4 linked regions of the Mus musculus genome follow. The protein of the gene in region 1 purifies or fractionates together with the protein of each later gene. This does not show direct contact. Links are inferred from orthologs where the notes say so. Each region holds a gene or a part of one and is shown in the gene's direction. Other genes may lie near its edges.

Region 1 (4,396 bases):
AGCTGCCTCTCTAATTGTCCTCTATATACTTTTTTCTTGAGACAGGGTCTATGTGGCCTAAGCTAGCCTGGAACTCATACTGTAGATCAGGCTGGTCTTAGCACTTGTCACCACCACAATGCTAAGCATTTCCTCTTCTTTTGGGTGCGTTATCATTTTAGCAATTCAAGTTAGGAATCCAAGATATCCTATTGTTCACTGGGCCATTGGACCAGATAAAAACTGTTTTTAATTTTTTTTTTTTTCCTTTTTTGAAGACAGGGTCATCCTGTTTCAGTCTCCAGGGTACTGGATCAAAATTCCTACCTCACCTCTCTGGGCCTCAGTTCTTCCTACTGGGAAGTCTTTTTCCTGAAACAGGTTTCCTTTCCTTTAGGGACTTCCCTTAGTAACTCTGGCTGGCTTCTTGAGTCAAGCTTAGTTCTCACACTCTCAGGAAAACCTTTCTATACCTCTCGAAGCCAAAGGTCCTCCTATCAGGTTTCATTTTGACTAGACTTCCGTTCAGGAAGTTATACATCCCCTCTTTCCACATGAGGACTTCTAACATCTCAGAGGGTGAACTCTGAGCATCAAACATTCATACAATATTGAAAATTTCATGCAAAGTATCTCTCTCTCTTTTTAAAATAGGCCGGCTCTGGCTTGAGACTAGCGACACAGATATGGGTCACCGAGCTCAGCTGTTAGGCGCATAGCAAGAACCTTTGACTCCAAGCCCCGGGGGGCGATGGCTCTGAAGGAAAAGAAAGGGCTCCACACAGGCATAGCTGTAATAAGCTCGCAGGCGGGCTTCTTCCCTGCGCTGCACCGGTGGCCCTTCCACTCTTTCCGAGCTCCTCTGCCTCCCCTCATCCCAGCACCCGGCCGGCAGTCACTCCGAGCCGGGTCAGCATCCGGGTCCTCTCTCCCTCCTTACTGCTTCCTCCTCCGTACCGCCCCCTCCCCCGCTCCCCATCCGGGTCCCCCCTGCCACCGCGCTGTTGCTCACGGTTCCACGATGATCTCAGACTTGAAGCCGCCGCCGGTACGAGACTAGCAGTGCCCACATCGACTTCTCAATTTATTGTTCTGACTGCGGCTCTTCAAGAGGCTTCCTTGGAGCCCTCCCACTATTTCACACAGAAATCTCTGCCCTCCTCAGCGGCCAGCGACGCCGCAGCACTCAGTGCAAGAAAATACGCCATCCCTATCACACTGCGCAGGCGTCGTATGCCACCTCCCCTCTGCCTCATGGCCGCGCCTCCTTCCCCTCCCCTCTCTCGTCGAACGCAGGCAAGTGGGCATTGCGGTCTTGGTAGTTCTAATGTCCGTCAGTTTACCGATTGGCCTAGAAGACTGGACTACAATTCCCAGAAAGTATTGAGGGATAACTTTCTGTTTCCATAGAACTGGTGGGTAAATGGCGTCGTTGTTTGCATCGCTCAAACCAATAGAAACTTGGAAGAGGCGGGCTCCAAAGAATCCTACCCAATCCTAGGTCGTCTGAGAGGCATCCGGGAAAGAGGTAGGGGAGGGGCAAAGGGCCGAGGGGAGGGGAGAAGGGGCAGGGGGGCCAGAGAGGGGGGAAAGCGATGTTTGCCCGTCAGTCGAGTCCGGAGTGAGGAGCTCGGGCGCTGGAGCGGAGGGAGAGTCTCGAGCCGCAGTTTGCCGCCGCGACGGCCACCGCCTGGACTTCTGCCCGGAGGGAGCCGCTGAAGGTCGGCCGCCGTGTTCCTCTGGAGGGCTGTGAGACCGGGGCCCGGACCTCCGTCCGAGAGGGATTTTTTTGTCGCCCCCCTCCCCCCGCGAGGGAGCCGGAGCGGCCGCCAAACAAAGGTACCAGTCGCCGCCACGGGAGGAGGAGGAGTCGGAGCCGGAGTCCCGGCCGCCGGCGGACCCGCAGCTCCTTCGCTCTCTCTCCCCACAGGCCTGCTGGTGTTGGGGGTGGGGGGAGGCGGATCAGGGGGCTCTGGCCGCAGGGCTCAGACCTCGTCTGTGCCCGAGGTAGGGACATTCTTTTCTATGGGGGAAGCTCCGGGCCGGGCCGCGCATCGGGGCAGATGGCAACGGGGCTGAGTCGGCGCTCGCAGCGGGGCCTCGGCCTCCTGGGACCCCCGCCCCCCGCCGCGCCGAGCCGGAGCCGCCCTACCCGGGCCGCACCGTGGGCCCGGCGGCCTCGGGCCGCCGTGCTGGGAGCTGGATGTCCTCGGTGCCCGGTCCCGGCTCCCACTTGTGGGCCTTGGCTCGGGCGGGACGCGGGCGGACGCTGTGGGGCCGAGCCTCCGCAGCCCAAGGGCCCGCCGGTTCACCGAGGGCTCAGTCCGGGGGCTCCGGGCATCGCGGTTCCGTAGGCTTGGACGGTCGCAGCCGCGCTTCAGGCCGCGCCGGACCCTGGGCTTGTTGTGAGTTTTCTTCTGACAGAAATGGCGTCATCGTGGAGGACGGGGGAAAAGTCCGTGGAGTCGCGACAATGGGGCGGCGGGCGGTGGGGGCGGTAGGGGCGGTGGGATGGCGCGTGCCTGCTCGGGGCTCCTGGCCCCGCTCGGTGCCGCCCCCGCCCCTACGGCCTGGGGCGGGGGTGGTGGTGGTGCCGGTGGTGCTGACCCGGTGTCTTTGTTTCCCCTCCAGGTGCAGGTGAAGCTGGTGTCGCCGTGGGGATCGCGGCCCCAGAGTCACCATGAAGGTAAGGCGTCACTTAGCCAGTTTGAGTGGCTTTCGAATTCAGGAAGTGTCGGGGCTGTAGCAGGCCTGCGAGTTTTGCAGAGGCAGGTGTGTGTGTGTGTGTGTGTGTGTGTGTGTGTGGAGTGGCTCGGTGTGGAGCTTTCCCTGACAGGGTCAGCTGGAGCGAACATCCACAGGCTGTGTGTTTCGAAGTTATGGAGTCAGTTAGGAGATAACCTCACCCAAGCTGTTCAGGTTTCCCAAACAGAACAGCACCTTTTGCATGGAGCCGAAGGAACAACTGCACACATTAAAGCGTCTTAAATCGTAAAACGGAAAGCTGGTCTAGTAACCTGAATATTGAAACTGTAGTGGGTCTCTCTCTCTGTTCAATGATGAAAGGAAATGTCATTTGATTATGTGACCGGGACCGTAAATTTTAAGCAGAAAGCAAAATACTGAAGATGTTTAAAGCAGTTTGGTGCTCCTTCCCTAAAGAAACCCGAGTTGGCCTGCTGTGCCTTGTATTTCTAGGGACTTAGGTTTCTGTATGGTTTCTTTTTCTCACTGTTGGTGTACTGATCTTGGAGTTGACTCTTTTAAGATATGTTGTGTGTAATGGGCAGGTTGTACTGAAGTAAACATGTTGACCACAGAATAGCTTCTAAGAAATGTGTCTAAGAAGTAGTCTGTGTATTGATGGAATAAATCACAGCTGTTTTAGTTTTTTTTTTTTTTTCATATTGGTATGAAAAGCTTTAGGTATCTGAAAATATCTAGATTTAACTGTTGGAACTTTGATACTGGAAAATTTTTCTTTAAAATCTACTACAAATTCAGATATGCTTGGAAAGCGTGTGTATTGAAGTGTTAGAATGTAAATGACATCTACTTTTGACAGTTCTTTTGGGATTCTTTTTTTTTTTTAATTTAATTAATTTTTTTTTAAATTTTAATTAATCCAGTGAGGATTGCTTTTGTAGGACTGCATCCAGGTACAGTTTCAAAAGCTTCTGTTTGTAGACTACAAATGCTGTTGCCACTTTGTGTTTGTCTCTTGTACAAAGCAGTTTAGACCCTTTTAAAGGTTTTTTTTTTTTTTTTTTTTTTTTTTTTTTTTTTTTTTTTCCTCTTTTTGAGTTTGGGGCTCTGTAGAGGCTTGGCTTTTATTTTCTAAGTTCCTGTCTTTCATATGAATGAAAATGTAACCAGTGTTGTATGAGAGGTGGAACCTTTTTGTTTGTCACAGATGTACAACCTGTATGAAATAGTGAAAAGTGAGTGTCTTAGGGCAAAGTGAAGTTTTTAGGGAAAGCATATATCTGTCTTGTTGTTGGGTATGACTGGAGGAAAGCTTTAGGTTAACTGATAAATGTATACTGCACAATACATTTGGAAGCTGAATACATTTGGAATAAATGTTGTAATCTGTTAGTTCCTGTTGTGATGTCTGGCACATCTTAAATTCTCAGTAAATGTTTGTCTGAAAGGGAGGTACTGAGTTGAAGATGTCAATATGTTTTTGTTTTTCTTAATTTTCATTTTCTGTGTAAAAAAAACTTTTCTTTTTGAAGAGAAAAAAAGGAAGGAAGGAAGTAGGTAGGTAAGTCAGGTGTGAGGGTGCGTGACTGTTTCCACTTCCCATTGGTGGAAGGAGGATCAGTAGTTCAAGGACAGCCTGGGTTAGAGGCTAGCCTGGTCTACATATTGAGTTGGAGGGCAACAAGTCTACAGGAAACTGTTGTCCCCAACA
Region 2 (4,317 bases), on another chromosome or scaffold:
AGCACCTTTGCTTGCTGAACTATCTCATCACCTCCTTGAGTATTAGTAACTTTATTTTATTTTTTTTAAGATTTTTTAAAATTTATTTTATTTATATAAGTACACTGTGGTTGTCTTCAGACACCAGAAGAGGGCATCGGATGCCATGACTGATGGTTGTGAGCCACTCACCATGTGGTTACTGGGAATTGAACTCAGGACCTTTGTAAGAGCAATCAGTACTCTTAACCACTGAGCCAACTCTCCAGCATCCCTCCCCCCAATTTAAATTTTTTTTTTTGTTTTTTGGATTTTTGTATTAATAACTTTAAAGGAGTAGTTTGAGACCGTGGCAGAACTCAGCAAGATGTGCACACTAGCCAGGGCCAATGGCACAAGCCTGCAATCCCAGTTACTCTGGAGCCTGGGACAGGGGGAATGCAAGCTCAAGGCCTGATAGGGCTACAGATTATGTTCAAGGCAGTCTGGCCAATTGAGTGAACACCAATGTCAAAAAATTTAAAAATTAACAAAAAGTATAATGTCAGAAATCACCTAAATAGAGAGCAGGCTGAAGTATGTCAGTTATTTAGAAACCAGAGAGTTAAAGGATGACGTGAGAAAAGAAAATAGCAAGAAGGAGGAGGGGCTCTTGAAACTCTGGTAGTCAGTTCTTCCCAAACAGTATGGCTTGTTACAAAGAATCTATTATGATCACAAAACTCTAGTTCTAAATGACCTTCTGGGAAGAGAGGTCCGTAATCTCTTAGCAGTCAAAAAATGTATAGCACCATCTCTGGCAAAGACATAAACTCTATAACTTCCACTACAGGCAAAACAGCACCCCACCTCTCTCTTTGTAATACGGAAGACTTGAGGGAGAGTAGAGCTGCCTTATCCAATTGTGTGCACTGAGCACGACCCAGGCGGGTGTTCGGCTCCAGCGGGGTCCAGCCACCCCAGGAATCCCTCCATGACAAGACCCAATCCTACGTGCAGCAAGGGGAGGAGACTCCATGAGGATACGGCGGGCTCTCGGGGCAGCCACAATCATCCTCCTTTACTCCTTACGCGTCCCACTGCCTCCATCACCGGGGTAAAATTCAACCGAGTGCTTTCCCGCTGAAGCGAAACCGTGGAATCCTTTATCGTGTCAGTCCCCAAAAGAAATGGCAGAACAGTCTTCAGACTTGACTGCGAAGAACAGTGAAGCCCGCGTCCAGTCGCCCAGGCCCCGCCCTCTTAGGGCTGGGGACTACATTTCCTAGAGGCCTCTTCGGCTCCAAGAGGCGGGACCGACTGTTGTCCTGTTCCCTGCAGGCGAGGACTGGCTGCCTGAGCGAGGGGCGGGGTTTGTCGTAGCCAGTAAGCGAAAGTCTCGTTACGGCGGCGGAAGCAGCCAAGCTGGAGTGAGGGGTGGGGGACAGAGTGCTAGCGGCCGGGCTGCGGCTGCGGGTCCGGAGCCCGAGGACATTAGCCCTAAAGACGGAGAGCACACAAGAGCAAGCTCTAGACGGCGTGGCCGCGCCCAGGTAATGGCGGAACGAGAGCCGGGAGGGAGAGGAGTAGTCGAGGGGGCGGGACTGCCTAGGCAGTCCTGGTGCTCGTCCCTGGGGAAGGACAGAGCCGCCACAGCTCTTGCGGTCCTCATTCCAGCTCTTTAGCAAGCTAGGCAGAGCAGTTAAGTCTGCGGCAGGGTCCGGATGATCGGTGGGAAGGAGGACAAGAAACACCGAGGGGTGGGCAGCTCCGGGCGTGGGGGCGTGGCGGACGCGGGCCTCCGCAGGGAAGTCAGCGGGAAGGAGGACGGCCTAGGGAGTTTGGCTTCTGGAGCAGTTTAAAGTGACTCTCCACATCCGGGCCCTGCGCCCGCCGCTTTCAGACCCTTGCTGGGGCGGGGCCTCCCGGATCCCCGCCCTTCTTGCCAGGGATCGCCTATCTCTCCCTTCTATTGGCCCAGCCCCGGAGTTTAGACTGCTCCCCGCCCCCAGAGAGACTGGCGTCTTATTGGCTGGCGGCCGGCGGGAGGGCGGGGCGGGCCCAGAACGCGCAGGCAACTGCGGATTGGTGCTGGATACAGTGACGCACCCCGCGTCTAGCCAATGAGCGGGCGGGGGAGGCAGGGGTAGGTTGGGTGGTAAGAGGTGGTAAGCGGAGCGGCTGCTGGCCGTAGGGTGAGTGTGGCTGGCGGGCGGGCTGAACTGAGGCGGGCCGGGGACGCGTTCCGAATTGCGTTCCCTCCGTGCCTGCAGAGCCCCTCGAGCCCTTCGTGGCGGCTGCATATAAAAGGGCACACTGCTTATCTTGCCGAGAGGACTCCGTAGGACGTTTTCTCCGGGAGACAGAGCTTCGACACCCGGGGTGTCTGGAAACGTGTGTCCTGGGATCTCGGAGGGGAAATGGGGATAACTGGGGTAGACCGGAGATAAGCGAAGCCTGAGGGGGAAGACAATTTTAGAGACCGTGGTTCTCGAATCCTACCCGTGTCTCGGGTTGGGGGGTGGGGGGATTATCCGTGATGAGGAAGAAAGGAAATCCTTAAATGGAGGCCTTTACGGAAAAGCGTTTGAGGATTCCACAAGCATCGGGTCTTAATGTAAGATTTTTCAATCCTTTCTTGGGGCTGGACATTATGACATACTAATTATGGTTCTATTTACCTTGGTGTGAGGCTTGAGTATTTAAAGGAGCCATACTATTTTCCATAAAAATTTTACACAGCCTATGATTATGGTACTACCATTTGGCGGCTATATAACATTCCATGCTTCTTTTTTTTTTTAATCCATAAGTATTTTGGAAGCTTATAGTAGCCTCCAACATTTGTATAAAGTCTGTCATTATTAATTTAGCCTTAGAATGTAAAAAAACCCTCAATAGATGTCTGTGCCATTGATCATAACTTTTAAATAAATGAAGCTGCATATGTTTTCCTGAGAGGTCACGGGTACTAAAGATGCTTTGATCTCTCGATGTCGGTTCTAATTTCAGAATCTGGTAATCGTGGCCTGACTTGTTTTGCAGGTGGAAATGAGTTCCCAGCAGTTTCCTCGGTTAGGAACCCCTTCCCCTGGGCTTAGCCAGCCACCTTCACAGATTGCAAGCAGTGGTTCCGCAGGACTGATAAACCAAGTTGCCACAGGTAAGATAAGTCACAGCTCTTTTGTATTGCTTACTGTTTGAAGAATGTCACTATCTTCAAATTAGCAAACTCCTTTTCATAATTACTGTCTTATCGACTTTGAGGAAAGGATGTGTCAATACACTTAAAATAAGGCATTTCCCTCTCTTTTTTAAAAAATCATTTATGTATGCTAGGCTAAGTGCAACTTTAGTAAACCATACTTGTAAGAACCATTTTTAAAAGTATTTGTATGTTAGATTTAATTCTCTCTTGGGGTATAGGTATGGTGGTGGTGCCCTGAGAAAACCCAGCAGTGAATGTGAAGAAGTTCTGCTTCTAAGGACCTTCTTAGGACCTTAAGATTAGGAAAAGAGAGGCAGAGTATGTGAGAGAGAGTTTTTAAGAGTGTGTTTTTGAGGTCATGTGTGCTTTGAAAGGTGAGAGGTCAGCCTCAAATGCGCTTCCTAGGAACTGTCCTTGGTTTTTGATACAGGGTGGCTCACTGGGACTGGAACTGAGGAAGCTAGGCTGACGAGCACACGATTGAATGAGCTGCTGCCCCGGCCCTTGAAAAAGGGTTGCAAAGTATTTATATACTTGGTTTTTATTTGTAGCATATCTTTTGAGTGCTATAGACTGTGATTCTCAGTGGTGGGTTGGGCGATATTCTATACTAATTGGCAATGTCTAGAGACAGTTGTGATTGTCACAACTGAAGTACTGGACATCCTAAATGCACTAGATAAACCCCTTCCACCCTCCAAGACTTCTCAAAGCCAGTGAGCAGTTTTCAGACTTTGTCTCCACTCTGTATTAAGTATATATTGCGAGCTGAAGTGAAGTCACCTTTTCCCCATCTGTTTCTTGTTTCCTGGTGGCAAGTGCTGCTTTTCACTCACTGCTCAAGCTAAAGGCTGAGGTGTCTCTAGTTGTCATTGTATTCTGTCTCTCACTCCACCCCACCACCTTGGCTCACAATGTAGCTCAGGCTGGCCTCAAGACAGTTCGGGGTCACCTTTGTCCCACCATGCCTGGCTGGCTTTATCCACCAGCAAGCTTTTGGGCTCATTCCTGCTGCTTTGACTAGTTCGTGCTAATTTAGTTTTTAACTACAGATTTGTTTGTTACTGTAAGCTACTCTATGCCTGCTGTGGGACAGTGTGTACTGTTTTTTCTGTGTAAAGTATTTGTAGTTCTCAGGATTTCTCCCATTT
Region 3 (3,633 bases), on another chromosome or scaffold:
TGTTCTAATTGCATTAGACTGGCTCCTTCCACTCCACTGAGTTGGGGAGGTCGGGTTGCTGGCTGGAGACAGTATTGGGGAGTTCCCAGACCTTCCAGGTTTAAGGAAGGAGAGGTAAAGATGAGACAGGCTCGTTGTAGTGTGGCTGTATCGGGCAGTGCCTGATGCTCCAGTGGAAGGGGCTTTAGGAGTCAGGGAAAGATGCATAGAAAGATCTGTGGGGGGTGAGGTAGGGGGTGATGTGGTGACCTGACCTGGGGCGGGTGGGCTCCATCTCAATGTCAGCCCTTTGCCCGGGGCGACCTGGGTGTCTTGGAGCTTGGTCCCTTTGTTCCAAGCATGCTTTGCCCTCCAAACACCTGATGCAGACTTCATTCCCTGCCCCCTCTCCATGTGCTCACCCCTGCTGCTGTGACGTGTGACAGCATGGGTGAGCCTGCTAGTCTGCTGGAGATGGATGAGGCTGTGTGTCCTGTGGGGCCCTGTCTCGCGCACTCTGTCTGCTGCAAGCCTCAAATGAAGTGTGTGCTTCAAATCATTGTTGTTATTTTACCCAAGTCGCTAAACAAATAGTAAGTTCTTCATCTCAAGAACTGGGGGTAGAACCCAGGGCCTCATGATGCCAGGCAAGTGCTCTACCGCTAGGTCGCATCCCTCACCAACTGATACGTCTCCCCACTTTAGCCGCCGTTTCCTAGTGGAAACACTGACAATCTCAGGATCCAGAGACTGTCCTGAAATGCTCAATGTTACCTACCTAGTTAACTATAGTCAGCGCTGTGCAAGAGGACGGTGGGCTCTCCCCTCATCAGGATGGAACCTCATAGTGACCTCTGTCTCCCAGCCTCTGCTCAGCCAGGGTTCCTGCCTCTGCTTTGGGGTTAGCTCACTCCCTTAGATTCTGCTTAGGAGGGAGATGGGCGAGCTTGCTTTATGGTTAACATTCGCTAAAGGGAAGCTGGAACTGCCCCTGGGGAGGGGCAGGAAGTGAGTGAGGCAGCAGGCCCCGTGCAACTCCAGGTAGTGCCTGTCTCACAGAAGCCAGGGAGGCTTCTAATGCAAGGCAGTTAACTGTTTGGAGGTTACATGACTGAGGCGTGTCCTGCCCAGATGTCTTCTCCAGTTGTCACACTCCAGGGTCTGGGCTTCAGACCTGGGAGTTTGATTTTGTGCTTGCCCTAGTTGAACTCTCGGGCTCACTGACCAGACTCCTAGGAAGCTGTTGTTTGAAGCTCTTGCTAGTTTTAGCAGGTTCAGACTCAGGTGCCACGCCAGCCCATCCCCCTGGGGAGAGCAGATCTGAGTGGCTGCTTCTGGGGAGGAGACATTTCCCTGTGTGGAGTCCGTCCTCTAAAGCCCCAGAGAAGTCCAGAGTGAAAGGCGGCCCTGTTCCCCATCTGCTGTATCGGTCTTGCCCTCTGGTAGCTACAAAGGGTTATATAGAAGAAAACTGGGAGTGTGTAAGCAAAGACTTCATATACAAACCTTGGCTGGGGTCAGTGGCCTTGAAAAAGGGCTTTCTATGTCCATGGTCTTCAGCACGCAGCCTCTGTGGGAGCAGCAGACATGAGGTACCTGCCTGATCCCAGGCTCTTTTCAGTCTCCTAGCCTGTGACTGGGTGCTCAGCTGGCTGACTCCGGTAAGCACAGGGCTTGCAGCCTGCCACGGGAGTGTGGCTGGGCTCATGCATAGACTAAGTGTGCTTGGTCACATAGCTGCAGTGGGATGTCTGTGGGATGGATGTTCTGATGCTGCAGGGACCCCTGCTGGCTCCAGGGACAGGTGGATAGACTCACCCCTTCCATTCTTGCCACAGATTCTATGGAAGTGAAACCCATCATGACCAGAAAATTGCGGAGGCGACCAAACGATCCTGTCCCCATTCCAGACAAGAGGAGAAAACCGGCTCCTGATATCCATTTGTACCAAGCTTGAGTCATGAACTCCTATGCTTAGTGTGTGTAGTAGTGTATGCAGGGTCACAGTCTCACGAGCCAGCGGCAGTCCAGGTCGGGAAAGCATATGTGAGATACTTACCTACAGGTGGGGTTGACTCCAGACAGCACTGGAGTCAACTATTGCTTTTCGTTGGAGAGGTTTCCAGAAAATGGTTACTTAGAAAGGTGCTCTTTTGGAAACAGCCTTGTTCTTACACTCCCTTTAAGCAGCTTACAGTGAAATGTGTAAATTGAGGGCAGCACTGCCTGCTGTGGTCCCAGGTACCCACCTCTGCCTCTTGGGCTGCAGACTGCCCTAGCCCACCGGTTATCTGACTACAGTACTGGGCTGCAGACTGCCCTGGCCCACCAGTTATCTGCTTCTGGGTTGTGGACTGCTGTAGTGTACCAGTTGTATGCTTCTCTCTACACTGGTAGGTTGTGTACTGCCATGCGTAGTCTACCGGTCACCTGCCTTTACACTAGTGGGTCGTGAACTGTACCACAAGTAGGTCCGGTGTTCATGGAAGATGCTATATAGCCACGGACGTGGCCAGTGGGCCAACGTGGAGCACTCTCTTTGGGAGATTTAGTGTAGCAGTTTGCCCAGCGTGGGCTGTACTGTGCAACCAGCAGAGGGTGCTGCTCCAGGCCTCTCCCCTTCACAGCGTGATCTAAGCCACTGTGAGAGTAGCCTTTCCGTGTCTGTCTGGAAAGCTTCAAACTTGGGAGTAGCAGTGTTTTTCTCCCTTAGATGAGATTGTCACCTTGCTGTGCTGTGTTCCCACCCCTGCGACATCTGTTGAGTAGCAGCATCTCTTCCCCTCAGAGCAGTGTGTACGAGGGGTGCGTGGAGTTCTCGTCTGTGCCTGGTGACTTTTAGCATGAGAGTCAGTTTTTTAAAGAGGCAAGGTCTTACCTTGAAAACAGCCTTTCTGTAGCCCAGGCCTCCCCAGTCCCAAAGCACTGGGGTCCCTGGGTGCCTCTGTCTCCTTGGAAGCCATGCATTTCCCACGAGTTCTTTAACTCTCGGCACCTCAGCTGAACTACTTGCTAACAGACGAGCAGATCATGGAGGACCTGAGGACGCTGAACAAGGTAGGGTGGGACGCTTTTGCTGTACTTGAAAGGCTCACGTGTTTTGTGACGTAAGTTCCTGTCACCTGCTAAAGTCACCATGACATCTCTGATGCTTTATGTTGCTTCTAAGATGATTTTCTCTGAGACTTTCTTGTTGTTATTCTTCCTACAGCTTAAGTCACCCAAGAGACCAGGTGAGTGCCCGATGACACTGCCAGTCTTTGTACCCTGTCATTGGAAAAGTGGAGGTGGGGTTTCCAGGAGTGAATTATGCTGAGTCGTGAAAAGGGCAGGAATCATAAACATGTCTCTCCCGTGTTGTTTCTTTAAAGCCAGCTGTGCTGTTTGTCTTTTCCTTAGGACTTACTATAGAGGAGACCTTTGATTGGCTCTTGAAGGGTTCCCTTCTGAGTGGGTGTCGGGTGGGCCTTAGGTTCAGGACCGTTTTCAGTTCCAGTCATGCAACCATGGGGAACTTTGTCTGGAGCTCAGACCCTGCAGTGCTGACTGTGGTGCTCGGGTCCTAGGGAGGCCCAGGCTGTCCTCGTCCTCGTTAGGAGACAAGGCGTATGTAGCTGTCTGTGGTGCTCGGGTCCTAGGGAGGCCCAGGCTGTC
Region 4 (4,149 bases), on another chromosome or scaffold:
TGGTTGCGATTACAGCCCTTCCCCTTGAACAGTCATTCTTAAGACCATATCCTTCACACAATCTGGAATTTTTACTCCTTCTGTGAACGTAAGTGCACACTCAAGGTTTATTTATGCAGTGGTCTGTGTGAGGTTTTCAGCCTCTCTTCCTCCAGTTTAAAATGTCCCTGGATCTACCCGACCAATAGAGTATACATTTTCCCTTCATGCTCCGCCTTCCGGAGGCTTGCCCAGGCGGTGACATTTAAAGGCCTCCGCTGGGTTATCTCCGCCCCCTGAGGGCTGCAGATTCTGGTTGTCCCAGTGTCACAGTATTCAGTCAGCCCTAGTGACCAGCTAGTAATATCTGGGCTTTTGGATCAGATTAGAGCTCCAGACCTTAATTTTGGAGTCGGCTTGCTGAAAGTAGCTGCTGAGTGCTCCAGATGGCTGTGTTTAGAAGACCGTGAAAGTGTAAAAATAAGTGGGTAGGAAGGACAAGGCTTTCTGTCATTGTTTTGGTTAATTCTCCACGGCGGGTAATACTACTGCCTTTTCCTTTTCAAATCTCAAAGCCTCGGGTTTCGGCCGCTGAGCTCCCCGCCATCTCCGATCCCGGCCTTGGAACGCTGAGGTTCAGTCTCCAGTGTAAACATTCCACAAAAGGACTGCTAAGGTTCAGCATCCTCGCGCAGGGCGGAATGGTCTCCTTCCTGGACCGGCGCCGTGTCCAATGGCGGCTCCTACCGGCGCCAAGATAGTCCAATCAGATCATTGGGGGCGGGGCCTGGCCCAGCCGTGTAGTGGGTGGAGTCGGCCTCACTTAAGGACATTTTTACCCCACATTGGTTACTTACCTTCCTGGGGCTATGAGAGAAGCAAAGGTAGTCTTCCAATGCAGGGACCGGCGGAGGCGGGAGCCGATTTGTTAGGCCTGTGGCTGGGGCGGTATGGGGAGGGATATGTGAGACTCTCCAATGAGATGTGAAGAGGTACTCCTCTTCCTCCAATAGTATTAGAGCCCGGAGGAGGGATTCGGCAATCAGTCTCCAATAGGCGGGGTTGAGTTAGGGACTCTCCCCGCCAATAGGGGCGTGGAGAAGGTGAGCGGCTCGCTCTCCCCTCCCAGCGAGGGAAGAGGGCGGGAGTAGGTCTTTGCGGCATAGTGATTGGCTAAACCATTGACGGATGGGTAATATATCCCGTGGCGGAGCGAGGTTAAGCCTTCCCTCGGCGGGGCGGGCCGGGAGAGTGGGCGGGATTTCCCGGGTAACAGAGAAGCGGCCGCGGCGGTAGAGGCGGCAGAGACGGTTTCTCCATCTTCCCCCCTCCCCTTCCCCCCTTAGAGTTTCCCTCCCTCCCTCCCTCCTTCCCAGTCTGGGCACCCAGGCCTGTGACCGCTTCGTGGGCGCAAAGGAGGTTGCCAGTCCGCTCTTGCGGGCCTGTGCCCGCGCCGTTCCGGGGCCTCCGTGCTGGGTGCGAGGCTCACGCCGGGAGCGACGCACAGGCTGAGTGGCTGGAGCTTTTGCGGTGAGAGCACGCCGCACCGCGGTCCGCCCAGCAGCTGGGTGGCGGGTAACCCGGGACTGGAGGGCGTGTGTTTTTCGGGGGGGCTGACCTCGGCTTCCCGTGCGTGGCTGTGGGGGGCGGAGCGGAGCCGCACTCAGTGCGGGAGGGGGAGGAGAGCGTAGTCCCGGTGCGCACGGAGGGGCGGGTCCTAGTCCCGCCGATCAGAGGCGGGGCCGGCGCGCGTGCGGTGGTGGAGAAAGGGGCGGGACGGGCTCGCGCTAAAGGCCCGCGGCTGTGACCCCGCCCCTTCTCCCTTATGGGCGGGACCACTGGCTGAACTGCTTTGGGTCCGCGGGGCGTGCGGGACGGGAAGAGGGTCCCGGCGTGTGGCTTTCAGGGCGCGGTGGCGAGGGGGCGTGAAGCCTGTGTTCCCCCGCCTTAGCGGGATCCGGTTGGCCGGAAGGCGCGTCCGGGGCTGTGATGCCACGCCCCTCCCGCCCCGCCCCCTCCGGGATTTCCGCCTCCTTAGCAGTGAAGAGGAGCTGGGGAAAGCCCGCTGTGGCGTCTGGCAGGGGGTCAGGGCTCCGTGTCTGCTCCTCCCAGCATCCCCGTGGGTGGGAGGGCCCCTTGTAGACTGGGAACGGTGGAGGTGTCCGGACTTTATGCTGTGGCTTCTTCATCCATTCTGCTTGGGGCATCGTGGCCCGTAGCTGTAGTCTTCTACTTTGCTTCACACACCATGGATGGCGCCTTAACAGCTAGGGAGAGTAGAAGCGTGGTCAGCTGCTCCTCTTCGTTGTAATTATTGGGACGAGATACTCAGCGTCCTCTCTGGAGTGTCTGCGGTGGGGTGCGGCTGGTGCTGTGCCCTTGCTTCCCCGACAGTGGCCGGTGGGGGAGGGGCAGAGTGATCAGGGACTGGAATTGTGGAGGGCGCCAACCTTCCCTGGAGTTCCCTTGATGTTCAGCTACTGCGCCTTTACGGGTTGATACCTAAAAATTGCTACCATTTTTGGTAGCTTAGGACTTTAAACTCAGTTTACCATTTGAGCTCCTAACAAATCTGAGATTTTATTTCTAGAGAAAGTATTGAATTTATGATTGTAAGTGATGGAGTGAGTTTAGGGCACATAAGCATTGCTTCACCGCTAGGCTATACCCCAAGGCTAAATTTTTTTTTTTTAAGTCAAAGATTTAACTCTCTTTAAGTAAAATACTCTGATTTCTTGACTGATTTCACCTACAGAAGGTTTTGTTACATAAGCTTAGTTTCACAAAGGTAACTTAGAATTTTGTGTTCTCTTTTGGTTTTATGTAACTTCTAGTCCTTAAAGCTTCATGTTGCTCTTTTTAGATACTAAGTAGGTTGAACTGTATGAAACCTATGTGTAGCATAGCTTACCGGCCTGTGTTAGAGAGTTACTTTGGCCATTGTTGGTTTACTGCACATGTAACCATATTAGATGATCTTACTCGAGAACTTCATGAAAAGTGAACATCGAATTCTTAATTTATGTATTGATATCTGAGTATGTGTAAACCACTTTTAAAAAAGATTTATGTTAAAGTGTGTGTGTGTGGGGGGGGGCAGAATAGGATGTTAGATCTCCTGTAGGTGGAGATAACAGGTGGTTCTGAGCCACCTGACATGGAACCCAACTTAGGTCCTTTTACAGGAGCAGTCTGCACTGAGCCATCTCTCTAATCTCATAGTCATGTGTAATTTCTGAAGCTAAATTCTGGATTTGTTCTTTGTTCAGTAGAGGCTGAAAACTGTGCCCTGTGCTGTACTTAATGAAGAGGTTAAATATTCACTTTTCAGCTAAAGAAGTGACACCAGCCATGGTAACAGAATGGAGGTGGAGCCCAAAAGATAAGGACTTGGATGTACTACAGATGGAGTACACTTAAAACGCTAGAAGAGAATTCTTTGGCTTTGAGGAAAGTTTGACCAACCCATAGTTAATTTTACCAATTGAAGTACAGTTTGGAAAATCAGATGACTTAATTCATACCTTTTTTTTTTTTTCTTGTTTTTGAAACAAAGTTTAGCCCTGGGTGTCCTAGAGTTCACCCTGTAGTCTAGGCTGGACTCAGACTAAGAGACCTGCTTGCCTCTGCCCCCCAAACACTAGGATTAAAGGCATGTGCCACCACTGCTGAGCATAATTCTTATGTTTATAGAATGTGTATAATAGGTTGTGTACTGGAGTCACAAGTCCTAGGCTTTGAAATTTCAAGAACCTTGTTTTTGCTTGTTTTTTTTCTCCTATCCATCAGTATACGTTTGTTATTTTTGCATACTAGCATTTAGGAGGCTAAGCAGACTAAGTGGTGAAGAGTGAGTATTACTCTAAGAAAACCTGAGTTCAGTTTTCAGCAACCATGTCAACCTGTATCTCAGGCTCCAAGTACTGACACCTCCGGCCTCTAGGACACAGACACGGGTGCACACCCCCACATCCATACACACAGTGAAAAATAACAGAAATACAGCTTTGAAAAATAAACTGTTAATACTTTTAAATTCAGGCCTTAAGTCGTGTGCATAAGGAAGTTTTTTCTTTTTTTAAGACTTGAGATTGGTATTTGACAAGATTCCTGGTAAAGCACAGCCATCTTGACAGTGCAGCAAATATCCTGAAAGGTTACCCAGGGCAG

What was found.
Region 2: the proteins of Arid4b (region 1) and Sap130 fractionate together in Homo sapiens (co-fractionation; 4 studies listed by BioGRID, with this or other methods). This does not show direct contact. The link is inferred for Mus musculus from reciprocal best matches to the Homo sapiens genes ARID4B and SAP130.
Region 3: the proteins of Arid4b (region 1) and Suds3 purify together in Homo sapiens (affinity purification with western blotting; 3 studies listed by BioGRID, with this or other methods). This does not show direct contact. The link is inferred for Mus musculus from reciprocal best matches to the Homo sapiens genes ARID4B and SUDS3.
Region 4: the proteins of Arid4b (region 1) and Sin3a purify together in Homo sapiens (affinity purification with mass spectrometry; 5 studies listed by BioGRID, with this or other methods). This does not show direct contact. The link is inferred for Mus musculus from reciprocal best matches to the Homo sapiens genes ARID4B and SIN3A.

What each region holds. Positions count from the first base shown.
Region 1 is NC_000079.6:14,062,215-14,066,610, forward strand, and holds the start of Arid4b (AT-rich interactive domain-containing protein 4B), read left to right. Parts: upstream 1-1,569; 5' UTR 1,570-1,818; intron 1,819-1,828; exon of another isoform or gene 1,829-2,384; intron 2,385-2,610; 5' UTR 2,611-2,659; coding exon 2,660-2,665; intron 2,666-4,396. UniProt on the Homo sapiens protein: Acts as a transcriptional repressor. May function in the assembly and/or enzymatic activity of the Sin3A corepressor complex or in mediating interactions between the complex and other regulatory complexes.
Region 2 is NC_000084.6:31,632,979-31,637,295, forward strand, and holds the start of Sap130 (histone deacetylase complex subunit SAP130), read left to right. Parts: upstream 1-1,389; 5' UTR 1,390-1,511; intron 1,512-2,054; exon of another isoform or gene 2,055-2,521; coding exon of another isoform or gene 2,522-2,575; intron 2,576-3,003; coding exon of another isoform or gene 3,004-3,009; coding exon 3,010-3,121; intron 3,122-4,317. UniProt on the Homo sapiens protein: Acts as a transcriptional repressor. May function in the assembly and/or enzymatic activity of the mSin3A corepressor complex or in mediating interactions between the complex and other regulatory complexes.
Region 3 is NC_000071.6:117,098,880-117,102,512, reverse strand, and holds part of Suds3 (sin3 histone deacetylase corepressor complex component SDS3), read left to right. Parts: intron 1-1,817; coding exon 1,818-1,913; intron 1,914-2,974; coding exon 2,975-3,036; intron 3,037-3,190; coding exon 3,191-3,212; intron 3,213-3,633.
Region 4 is NC_000075.6:57,075,122-57,079,270, forward strand, and holds the start of Sin3a (paired amphipathic helix protein Sin3a), read left to right. Parts: upstream 1-1,254; 5' UTR 1,255-1,509; intron 1,510-4,149. UniProt on the Homo sapiens protein: Acts as a transcriptional repressor. Corepressor for REST. Interacts with MXI1 to repress MYC responsive genes and antagonize MYC oncogenic activities. Also interacts with MXD1-MAX heterodimers to repress transcription by tethering SIN3A to DNA.